Macaca mulatta: one gene and its partners. The protein of the gene in region 1 binds, or shares a complex with, the protein of each later gene. Links are inferred from orthologs where the notes say so. Each region holds a gene or a part of one and is shown on either strand. Other genes may lie near its edges.

What was found. Proteins that work in one complex are often made in the same cells at the same time.
Region 2: CASC3 (region 1) and UPF3B share a complex: the UniProt entries of both Homo sapiens proteins name them as parts of the mRNA splicing-dependent exon junction complex. The link is inferred for Macaca mulatta from reciprocal best matches to the Homo sapiens genes CASC3 and UPF3B.
Region 3: CASC3 (region 1) and MAGOHB share a complex: the UniProt entries of both Homo sapiens proteins name them as parts of the mRNA splicing-dependent exon junction complex. The link is inferred for Macaca mulatta from reciprocal best matches to the Homo sapiens genes CASC3 and MAGOHB.

Annotation. Positions count from the first base shown.
Region 1 is NC_133421.1:64,543,603-64,547,486, reverse strand, and holds the end of CASC3 (protein CASC3), read right to left. Parts: intron 3,229-3,884; coding exon 3,106-3,228; intron 2,956-3,105; coding exon 2,932-2,955; 3' UTR 2,891-2,931; intron 2,791-2,890; exon of another isoform or gene 2,117-2,790; 3' UTR 504-2,116; downstream 1-503. UniProt on the Homo sapiens protein: Required for pre-mRNA splicing as component of the spliceosome. Core component of the splicing-dependent multiprotein exon junction complex (EJC) deposited at splice junctions on mRNAs.
Region 2 is NC_133426.1:126,336,583-126,340,537, reverse strand, and holds the start of UPF3B (regulator of nonsense transcripts 3B), read left to right. Parts: upstream 1-1,139; 5' UTR 1,140-1,219; coding exon 1,220-1,375; intron 1,376-2,280; coding exon 2,281-2,387; intron 2,388-2,557; coding exon 2,558-2,664; intron 2,665-3,955. UniProt on the Homo sapiens protein: Involved in nonsense-mediated decay (NMD) of mRNAs containing premature stop codons by associating with the nuclear exon junction complex (EJC) and serving as link between the EJC core and NMD machinery.
Region 3 is NC_133416.1:9,993,897-9,998,213, forward strand, and holds the start of MAGOHB (protein mago nashi homolog 2), read left to right. Parts: upstream 1-1,501; 5' UTR 1,502-1,551; coding exon 1,552-1,645; intron 1,646-4,317. UniProt on the Homo sapiens protein: Required for pre-mRNA splicing as component of the spliceosome. Plays a redundant role with MAGOH in the exon junction complex and in the nonsense-mediated decay (NMD) pathway.

The DNA of each region.
Region 1 (3,884 bases):
CTATACCAATACTTCCCCCAGCCCAGGACTTGGTATAGTTATACTGACATCTGATGGCATATTACCTTGGGAAACTTACTTGCCAAACACAAAGGAAGCCATAAAGAATACTAGATGCTCATGTGAATAAGCAGCATCTCTCTGCTTCTCTGTCCCTGACACTTCCAATCTAAGGGATGGCATGATATCCTGGTAATCTATGTGGTTAAAAAAGATAACTGATGGGGAGTGCAGACACATTTATGGCCTCAAAGGGGCTCCTCATCTCTCTGGGCTTCTGTTTCACAAGTCTGGGCTGACCTGAGTTGTGACCGTGACCCTGTGGGGGAATTAGGGAGTCCTCTTCCCTCCCTCCCAAATCAAGACTCATGCAAAACATTGGCAAGAGAGCCAAGTTTACAGTCTAAATTTTATTATCTCCAAGTCACAATGCTGATCACAAATGGGCACCCTTTAAAACAGTAACAAAAAACACCACCACACATGGAAAAATCCTTGCAACTAAACACAGTGGACCAACAGAGACAACTCTCACAGTGTCTTAAGGTCTGGGAATCTGGGCATGCTGCCCACAGGCTTGAGGAGACATCTTCAGGTTTAAGGCAAAGGGAACAGCCTACAAAAGGCACAACCACCAGCTACCCCTGGAAGAATCTCTTAGTTATTTCCTCCTTGGGGGTTACAGATTAAATGCCCCTTCCCCCTCTCCACGCCACACCTGTGACTCGAGTGGTTAGGCCAGCTGCTAGAGGGAAGGAATAAAAACAGACAGTGACATTACCGGGGAGAGACACAGCCACCATCTTCGCCCTCAGGTTCTGTAGAAGGACAGGGACAGTGGCCAAGTTACCCCTGGCGGACAGAAGTACTGCAGTAATAGGAATCTCTTCCGCAGAGGCAGCAGAGAAGTGGTTTAGTGCCATGGATAGCAAGGAAAGATAGGAGCCCTTGCCCAGAAGGTGACTGGCTTCCTTAGGCCTTAAGCCCAGGTGTAGTATCTTCTGTTTGCAAGGACAAAAGTAGAATTCGGGGAAAATAAGGTAGTAACATCTAAAACACTTGTAGCAGAGAAGACGTGGAGAAGAGCAATTGCAAAGGATGGGGTAGACTGCTTGCTGGATGATATTTGCCTTTAAAGAGATGCATTGGTCCACAGCAACTGGAAAGGGAGTGTAGCAAGAAGAATGGAAAGAAGAGAAGCAAGGCCCTCTAATTCCACTTACCTCAAAAGACTGCGCCCCGAGGACTATGTGAATACACACCCCTAAGGGCAAAGGCTCTCACTCCACCATCCCTTTCTCACAAAAGCATCTGGTTTGCCATCTCTCCCCACAGTAGGGTATTTGCCCTCAGCAGAGAACAGAAGTCCACCATAGTACAGGTACTGATGGATGCTCAGACTCCTAAAAACCTAAGTCAAAGAGAAGGACTCCTACCCACCTATTCTGAGCTTTTCTGCACAATAGGACCCTCTGTGCAGACAGCCATGCTTCCACAGGGTTAGAGTTAAGGGAATACAAGTATACAAGAGGATAACAAACGCCAACTAAAAGTGAAAGGCCAGGTCTTTTTAGCCTTGGTGAGGAAGGCTAGCTGATACATTCTCCATTATCTGGGATGCAGGGAAGAGTCAAAAGGGAATCCAGAGGGGCCAGCAAACCAGAAGAATGGACTTGTTTCATTTAAAGGCAGGGAGAGCAAGAAACAGAGACAAAGAGAAAAAACCAAAATAATATTAAGGATAAGAAGCCAGGCTTTAAAAATGAACATCTTAGAAAACAAAACAAACAGGAAGGAGCTTCCTTGAGAACAGAAGACACTTCAATTTCCCAGAAGAAAGTGAACAGCAGAAGACATGGGCTTCTGGATCTAGACTCAGAAGCTTGGGGCTGTCTGGCTCTGCTCCCCCGAACACAGCCAACTCAAGTGAAGAGTGAAGATGGGACGAGGTCCACTTGTTTCTCCCTCTCTCCAGAGCCTGTCCTTAGAGGAAGGCAGGGGTCCTCCTCTTTCAGCTGTTTGCTGGTAGAAGCCATAACCTATATCTTTGAAGCCCTTCTGGTAGTAGATAGCCAGCTGTATTTCTCTTCTCCCCTGAGTTCTCACCTCTGCCGTTCTGACAGGGGTTGGAAAAAGGGAAGAACCACCAAAGTGTTAGTGGGCCGTCTGGGCATTTACAAGCTGTTTACAAAAAGCCACATTTCTAGATAATGTGTATTAAGTAATGTCCTTAAACAAAATAAAAGCAACAAAACCCCCAGTCTTTCTCCTCTATGATCTTTAGAACTGGTTTTTTCTGCTATAACATCTCAAATTTAGATTTCCCTTTTCCTTTACTGCCTTCCTGTATTTTTTCCTTGTAGCTTCTAAATTGAAAATTGTCATGTAACAGTCGTTTCTACTTCAACCCTGCCCCATACACTTGCCACACAAACAAACTGGCAAATTTCAGGACTCCTTTAAGCCTCCTGAGATATCCCATGATTATTATAATTTAAAGCATTAATTAGAAGCCAGGCGGGGTGGCTCACGCCTGTAAGTCCAGCACTTTGGGAGGCCAAGGCAGGAAGATCACCTGAGGTTAGGAGTTCAAGATCAGCCTGGCCAATATGGTGAAACCCCATTTCTACTAAAAATACAAAAACTAGTCAGGTGTGGTCGTGCATGCCTATAATCCTAGCTACTCAGGAGGCTGAGGCAAGAGCAATGCTTGAACTCAGGAGATGGAGGTTGCAGTGAGCTGAGATTGTGCCACTGCACTCCAGCCTGGGTAACGGACTGAGACTCCATCTCAAAAAAAAAAAAAAAAAAGCATTAATTAGTGATTTTTGTTTGTTAAGCAAGTGTAAGCATTAGTTTTAAGAATATTCACAGTAAGTTGTGCACTTACTTTTATATGATGTTAAGATTTAAAATATTCAGAAACTCATATTAACTGGAACCCCTGCTTACAACCTGAAATAATAAAGTTGGAATTTGTTATCAGGTCATACCAAAGACTGTTTTCCAGAGAAACACACCCAGAAAAATGAGGGAAATCCTCTGGGGAGAAGGAAAGCCCACTGACGGAGCATGTGCACTAAGTATGGGAAGGAGCTCTCATACCTCAGGTGGAGGGGGCTTGATGGTGACTGGCTGGGGAGTCCTCCGTGGTGGGGAGGGCTTTGGTTGCACCTGCTGCTGGGCGGGGTTATAGTAGGTCACTCCTCCATATACCTGTGATGGGGCCTGGACCCCACAAGCCAGGAGAAGAAAAAGTTAGGAATGAATTCATCCAACCTATGATGAACAGGAAATATTATTCATCCACAAGAGTACTGGGGAATTTATAATTTTAAAAATATCTGATCTGCCCACCCTTCAAAATAAAGTGACTATTCATTTTTGCCTTAATTCGTCATTATTTTGCTCTGGTTTTTATTTCTTCAAAGTACTGCCCAGCTTTCTCTAATTCTTAACATCAGCTGACAATTGGAAAAGGCTGAGTTCAGTAGCGACACTACAGATACTTGATTATGTCAATGTGGTGGAAGTTAAGCAGGACAGAGGTGGGGTGATAAGGAGTAGAATACAGCTTCTTTATGCAAGAGTGAAAAGCAGGTATTGCCACCTATGAAGTACCACAACACAGGAAAGAAACACCATTAAAGAAACTGAACGCTGGGTGCGGTGGCTCATGCCTGTAATCCCAGCACTTTCGGAGGCTGAGGCAGGTGGATCGGTTGAGGTCAGGAGTTTGAGACCAGCTTGGCCAACATGGTGAAACCCCGTCTCTACTAGAAACACAAAAATTAGCGGGGCGTGGTGGCAGGCGCTGTAATCCCAGCTACTCGGGAGGCTGAGGCAGGAGAATTGCTTGAACCCAAGAGGTGGAGGTTGCAGTA
Region 2 (3,955 bases), on another chromosome or scaffold:
ATGATCCTTTTGTAAAATAAGGTGATGAAAACAAATCTCGTATATTTTGGTCATATTACTCCTTTTTTTTTTTTTTTTTTGAGACGGAGTCTCGCTCTGTCACCCGAGCTGGAGTGCAGTGGCCGGATCTCAGCTCACTGCAAGCTCCGCCTCCCGGGTTTACGCCATTCTCCTGCCTCAGCCTCCCAAGTAGCTGGGACTACAGGTGCCCGCCACCTCGCCCGGCTAGTTTTTTGTATTTTTTAGTAGAGACGGGGTTTCACCGTGTTAGCCAGGATGGTCTCGATCTCCTGACCTCGTGATCCGCCCGTCTCGGCCTCCCAAAGTGCTGGGATTACAGGCTTGAGCCACCGCGCCCGGCCCATATTACTCCTTTAAATATCAGTATCTTGTGTTTATTTATTATTATCCTTCTTTTTTAGATACAGGGTCTCGCTCTGTCGCCCAAGCTGGAGTGCAGTGGCGCGATCATGGCTCACTGCAGCCTCGAATTCCTGGGCTCAAGATCCTCCCTTCTCAGCCTTCCCTAGCAGCTGGGAATACAGGCGCGCGCCACTGAACTCGGCTAATATTGTAGTGTTTACTAAGTATCTGTAAATCCTAATCAATATAAGGAAAATAAATTTTTTTAAATGTTAGGCTCTTTCTTTGAGTTGTAGGAAAATAAATTCTAAAGCCTCTGAATTCAAAGACAAAATATACAAGTCGCTCCCCTAGTGAGGCAAAATTTGGACGGCATTGAGTTTATCCGATGGAAACTAAGCGTGCAGAACGTATCTTTCGACCTGAAAAACTCTGAAGATGAAAGGATTCGATTTACTTACAAACAGGGACCCTGAGATACCTCTGGCTCCTGAACGCCCAACAAAAGCGGGCAGCTGCTTTGCATGCCGGGACTTGTAGTCCCCGACAGAGTCACTTCAAGATGGCGGAGTTGCTAATGACGCGCGAAGGGGCGGGCCCAGAGGGAGTCTGCGCCGCGAGGGGATTGGGTGACACAGGAACTTGGCGGGCGGGAAGTAAAAACCAGGTGTTAAAACCTTTGCACTGGGAAAGGCCCAAGTCTCGCGAGAGCTTGGCAGGCCCCAGTGGAACGTGGGGCCCGACTTATCATAAGGGGCATTTGTTGGGGGCGGAGCTTTGACGGGAGCTTCCCTGGAGCCGTTGGTGCCCGGGGTAGCCCCGTTCCGGCCGAGCCGCTTCAGCGGGGGACGTAGCCATGAAGGAAGAGAAGGAGCACAGGCCTAAGGAGAAGCGAGTAACCTTGTTAACCCCCGCCGGGGCCACAGGCAGCGGTGGTGGGACCTCGGGGGACAGCTCCAAGGGGGAAGATAAGCAGGATCGCAACAAGGAGAAGAAAGAAGCGCTGAGCAAGGTGCCCGGTCGGCCGCTGGCCCGGGAGAGGGCGGGACGGGTCCGCAGCGCGGGGAGGATGGCTGGGAATGGGGCCGGCCCCTTTCTCTCTCAGGTTCCCCTTCTTCTCTTCGCCTGAATGGAAGTCGCACCATCCTGGTTTATCCTTTCTCCCGAAATGGGGAGAGCCCCTCCCGGCCAAATCCTGGGTAGGGGTGAGGAAAAGGGGGGACTCCCCAAACGGGAAGGGTTTAGGTCAGAGCTGTGAGGTGATAATGGGAAGAGAGAGCGACGGTATAAAGAATGAGGAACTAAAGGTGTAATTGGGGAGAAATATTAAATACTGAAGGAGACATGAGGGATGGCAATATTATTCATGGAGGCGAGTTGGGGGAGAGTTCAGGGTGATTAATGGTACGGGAGGGTAGATCGAGAGCATACTATTTTGAGAGCAATGGGTGGATTTTTTGTATTCGTTAGAGTTTTGAATTCTTAAGTTCAATGGGCAAGGATTTTGTTTTAAGATGTGTTGGACGTGGGAGAAACTTGTTACTAAATCAAGATTTCGTGGCACCCACAAAGACCAGGGTTGGCTTACTAATTTCTTGCCACTAGATCTGTTAAAAAATGGGTGATCGAAAATGATGCACAAACCTGGTAAACTGCAGGGCTGCTGTAAAGAGCAAAACCTGAGATTTTTCCCTGCTCCAGGTGGTTCTCATTTCCAAGCGTTTTTTTTTTTTTTTTAACCGCGTTACTATTATCTTTGACTACTTCTGAGCATTGGGCTGCAGAATATTTTCTCCTGGGTTTTTACAAGTGATCTCATATTTTAAAAAGCCCAGTCTTCTTCAGGAACTGTGATTCTTTCAGGTATGAGAGAAAATTGATTTTTACTAATTTTATTTTCCTTATGCATTTCTTAAGGTGGTAATTCGAAGATTACCTCCCACTTTGACCAAGGAGCAGCTTCAGGAACATCTTCAACCTATGCCTGAGCATGATTATTTTGAGTTTTTTTCTAATGATACGAGGTAAAAAAAAAAAAAAAAAAAAAGGAAAGGGGTAAATGAAAAAGGTTTCTTTCACTCTTTTTATCCTACTGTTTTCCATTTAATTTTTGAGCTTGTCTTTAATATATGCATACTTGTAATTGGGCCAGACACCTGCAAATACATTTACATAATTGCTTTCCTCTCTGCAGTTTGTATCCTCATATGTATGCCAGAGCATACATCAACTTTAAAAACCAAGAGGACATTATTTTGTTCAGGGATCGCTTTGATGGTTATGTATTCCTTGACAATAAAGGTGAGTTCTGGTAACTGAAATAAAAAGGGAATTTCTTTGTCATTCTTTGTCATTTGTATGTTTAAGACAGTGTGTGCATTGCGTTGCTTCCTGGGTGATAAAATGTGCAACATTTAAGTAAAGAGTTTTACACATTTGATAAGCTTGTTGCAGTCTTATAAATAGACATGTGACTTTTCACAGTCCTTGGTTACTTTTATTAACTTACTATTTTTTTAATTTGATCAACTGAGTGAAATTGCAACTGTTTTCTCCTCGTGTGACAAATTTTTTGCCCTGGCTTAAACCTGCTGTTTTGACTATAGAGTTTCAGCTGCAGTACTGATAAGTGACTCTTAAACTTGTTTGATAAATTTTAAATATTTACTTCTTATTTTGCTTCAAAGACAAACATTTATTTAATTCAAATCCATTAAGCCAACAGTTCCCAGTTGGGATACTGTTGAACATTCTCACAAAGTTGTATATAATTAAAACATGAAACTTGATACATTGGCCGAGCACGGTGGCTCACACCTGTAATCCCAGCACTTTGGGAGGCCGAGGCGGGCAGATCACGAGGTCAGGAAATCGAGACCATCCTGGCTAACACAGTGAAACCCCGTCTCTACTAAAAATACAAGAAATTAGCCGGGCATGGTGGCGGGTGCCTGTAGTCCCAGCTACTCGGGAGGCTGAGGCAGGAGAATGGCGTGAACCCAGGAGGCGGAGCTTGCAGTGAGCGGAGATCGCGCCACTGCACTCCAGCCTGGGCGACAGAGCAAGACTCCGTTCCAAAAAAAAAAAAAAAAAAACTTGATACATCTCGGCCCGGTGCGTGGCTCTCGCCTGTAATCCTGTAATCCCAGCACTTTGGGATGCCGAGGCAAGTGGATCACGAGGTCAGGAGATCGAGACCAGCCTGGCCAACATGGTGAAACCCCGTCTCTACTAAAAATACTAAAAAAAATTAGCCGAACGCGGCGCCTGTAATCCCAGCTACTCAGGAGGCTGAGGCAGAAGAATCGCTTGAACCCGGGAGGCAGAGATTGCAGTGAGCCAAGATCACGCCACTGCACTCCAGCCTGGCGACAGAGCCAGACTCTGTCTCAAAAAAAAAAAAAAAAAAAAAAAAAACCTTGATACTTCTCTTACTTTATATCTAGAAAGGTCCAGTCTATAGGCAAGACACATTTCTGCTTTAACACTCTATTATATGCTACCTACAACATTTAGCCAGAGAATGTCTAAGCTGCCATTTGCCACTTTTCTTTTTGGTTTGCAATTATAGGTAAATAGTGTGTCTTCTTGT
Region 3 (4,317 bases), on another chromosome or scaffold:
GGACTACAGGCACACGCCACCACGCCCAGCTAAGTTTTTGGTATTTATAGTAGAGACGGGGTTTCACCATGTTGGCCAGAATGGCACATATATTCTTAATTATAGCAATTGCTCCATTGTGCCGATATTTGCCTTACAAGTTTGCTTTCTTTTCTAGACTACCAGTGCAAATGCCTTTTTATTTCTAGTTTCAAACTGTCACATAGGAAATGTTTGTTAAAACTAACGTTTTATAAAATTTAAAGCTTATTTTACATATCTCATTTGATCTCTCAAGAATTCTGTGAGCTTGGCAATGTAGATTGCTGTATATGCCTTAGGCTGATGAATAAACAGGCTTAGAGAGTCACTTGCCCGAGGTTAGGTAGCTGTAAGTGTTGGGATTGAATCCCAGGTCTTCTCACCACCACTTTCTACAAAAATCACTGAAGGTTGTCAACCAGCAGAGAGGATTACTCTCTGTGTTGATAACAAAAGGGTGATCAATAATATTTAAAAAGCAGACTTTGTGTAAAAGTCTTTCCCTTACCTTAAAAACTATGCCACAATGGAGCATTCTTTCATTCCTCCAATTTAATTATATCTGGCGAGAAACAGTAATGGGCTAAACCATTGTTGTATCTTAAGTCAAATTGCCAAAACTCCACAGGCTACTAAAAGTTAACCCTTACTGAATGAATTAAGAACCATAGAAGTTCTGCTGTTAAAAAACAGCACGGTGACAGTCAGGGTTTTTCAGGCGTAGGGGGTGTGTGTTTTAAGACTTTAAGCCAGTTTTGTCCCACTGAAATCACCGTCAGTGATTTTTAGTAGAAAGTGGTGGTGAGAAGACCTGGGATTCAATCCCAACACTTACAGCTACCTAACCTCGGGCTAGTGACTATCTCTAAGCCTGTTTGTTCTTCAGCCTAAGGCATATACAGCAATCTACATTGCCAAGCTCACAGAATTCTTGAGAGATCAAATGAGATCTCTTAAGTTCTTTGCTGTGATGGATTCCTTTGACTTTGTCTCTATTATTATAGGCTTATAGGTCCGGGGCAACTACCAATCGTTATTCAAAGGGGAAAGCACCCTGTTAGAAATCAAGTAAGAAAAATGGTTTATATTCCCGGTCTGCCATCTCTATTCTAAGCTTTATCTTTATTTAGCTCCCAGTTAAAGGGGGAATAGAGCCACACCCACCTCACAAACGCCCCGAGGACTGGGAGACCAGAAAAGTAAAAGCCACTTGCAAACCTAATTTAGCTCTAAGTCGATAAAAAATACTATCATATGCTCACATTTCTAATATTTGCTAATATAATGTAATCTTTATTTTGAAAATAATGTGCCTCCAATCCTAGTAAAGAGAAAGTCACGGCATGCGACTCTCCCTTCAGCACCAACTGGCCTCTCACGCGAGACTCGGCTTTCATGCTTTAGTCCAGGACTGCACGGCAGGCGGAAGAGAAGCGCCTGTGGTGACGCACTTATTCCGCGCGATGACGTGACTACAAGGCGCCGGGGGACACGTTGGCTGGGTTTTCGGCGGGCTTCTCGGGGACAAAAATGGCTATGGCTAGCGATTTCTACCTGCGCTACTACGTAGGGCACAAGGGCAAGTTTGGGCACGAGTTTCTGGAGTTCGAATTTCGGCCGGACGGTGAGAAGAGGCCCACGGCACGCGGTGCTGGGAAAGGGGAGCGAGACCGAGAGGCCGTGGAGGAGGCGAGGGGAGGCCGGGTGGTGTGGAGGGTACAGGGGGCGGAGGCCACTGCTTCCCTCGAAGGAAATAGGAGCTTAAGAATAGAGGAGGCCTAAGTTGGTTTTATAAATGAAAGAGAACTAATTGCAATAAATTAAAGCTAATCCTGTCGCAAACTGAAAAGTCGAACTTACAGTAATCAGAATTCTGTAACTGCACCAGAAGGGACTCTGTAGATTGTTGACCTGGATTAAAAATGCTAGCACTTTTTTGAAAACACCCCCATCAGCGGGTGGTCCAATGGATGAATAAAATCTTGTGGTGACCAGTACCTTTTCTTCATTCAGGCTGTGTGTGTTCTTTGAAGGGGAGGAGCCCGACGTGTTAACAAATGAGAATAATAATATGTTTTAGGTGTCTACGTATAATTGTTCACCACAGGACGCATGAAGAGTACCAAAAAAGAGGGGAGATGTAAAGTTCCACAGGAGGGAGTCAGGAAAATCTTCCTAGAGGAAGACACTCTTGAGATGAGTCTCGAAATGAGAGACTTGGCCTTTGAGAGAAAAAAACAGACTTCCAGAGCAGTGAGAGCAGAGGACGAGGTGAAACTGCTACCCCAGTAGCGTGCAACAATTTGTTTTCTGACAGCGCTATTAGAGAATGTTACATTGGTCCTGCCTACCTGCAACAAGAAAGTTCATTTGGATATATATGTTTTGGTTTTTTTTAAATGCACGTTTTTTGCTGGGCAACAAGCAAATACAAAATTTGAAGGTACACTAATGAGTAAGACAAATTTAACTCAAAGAGATTTGTCTTGGTGGGGACACAGACATTTAACTATAAAGCAGTAGGTATATTAATAAGCAGGCTTTGGACAATGTTCTGTGAGAGCAAGAATAAAAAATTAGAGGAGAAACGTATATTAGGAAAGGAGAAGAGTATCAAGCATTTCAGGCAGAACTCACGTGAACTACAGTCCTGCAATTATTACTTTGAAACAGAGTCTCACTCTGTCACTCAGATCTGAGTGCAGTGGCACGATCTCAGCTCACTGCAACCTCCGCCTCCCAAGCTCAAGTGATCCTTCACCTCAGCCTCCCGAGGTGCTGGAAATACAGGCCAGTGCCACCTCGCCCATCTCCTTTGTTGTTGTTGTTGTTGTTGTAGAGATGGGTTTCCGCATGTTGCCCAGGCTGTCCTCAAACCCCTAAGGTCAAGAGATTCACCAGCCTCAGCCGCCCGAAGTCCTGGGATTACACGCATGAGCCACCGTGCCAGCCCTGCAATTATTTAGAAACCTTAATCACTGTATTCGACCTTACTCTCCCCATAAATTCAGCTAAATTTACCTGAATTCATCTATTCTTTATGTAGTATTATTTTCAGTTCCTCTGCCTGTGAACACCGTCAAGCTTGTCTCTATTACTTTTAGCAGGTCACATAAATTAAGCACCTGAATATTATCAGGGAAGTTTTATGCTAGAACAGTGGTTCTAATCAATGTATCTGCCACTGCACTGTTACACATACTTCTTCTATTGGTAATATTGAGTCTCCCGAAGACCTGCCTGCCTGCCTGCCTGCCTGCCTTCCTTCCTTCCTTCCTTCCTTCCTTCCTTCCTTCCTTCCTTCCTTCCTTCCTTCCTTCCTTCCTCTTTCTTTCTCTTTCTTTCTTTCTTTCTTTTTCTTTCTTTCCTTCTTTCTTTCTTTCTTTCTTTCTTTCTTTCTTTCTTTCTTTCTTTCTTTCTTTCTCTTTCTTTTTCTTTTTCTTTTCTTTTTTTCTTTCTTTTCTTTCTTTCTTTTTTTTGAGACAGAGTGTTGCTCTGTCACCCAGGCTGCAGTGCAGTGGTGCGATCTCAGCTCACTGCAACCTCTGCCTCCTGGATTGAAGCGGTTCTCCTGCCTCAGCCTCCCGAGAAGCTGGGATTGGAGGCATGTGCCACCATGCCCGGCTACTTTTTCGTATTTTTAGTAGAGATGGGGTTTCTCCATGTTGGCCAGACTGGTCTCGAACTGCTAACCTCAGGTAGTCCACCTGTCTCGGCCTCCCGAAGTGCTGGGATTACAGGCGTGAGCCACTACGCCTGGTGCCAAGCCATCAAAGACTGGCATTTCTATCATTTTAGAGTAACTGCTGCACATTATAGCTGTGTCTGGGCAACTGACTAGCCATAAGGGGAAGCATACATCAGATAATACACAAATCATGATGGATTAAAATTAAATATAAACTAGCTAACAAACTCATCAACTTCGATCCAGAAGCATCGTTTGTATCCTTCTTAGTCATAATTCTAAAATGTCTACAATATAATTGTATGCATACATTTGAAGGAAAAAAAGGAACATTTTTTTGTAGTGGAGAAAGCCTGAGTATTAAAAGAAAGTAGATCTAGGTCTGAATCTCCCATGTTTAAGTTACTTAACTTTGTTTTCTCTCTTATGAATAGGTGAGAGAATAAAACCTGATTTTTAGGATTGTTTTACAGATTAGATTAAATTCTCTGTGTAATGCACTTAACACCAATACATACATATAACAAACTTGAATGTTAGTGCAGATTCTCTTTCTAGTTCATGATGTAGCTTAAGAAAATAGGCCGTAAAAATGACCCTATATCTAT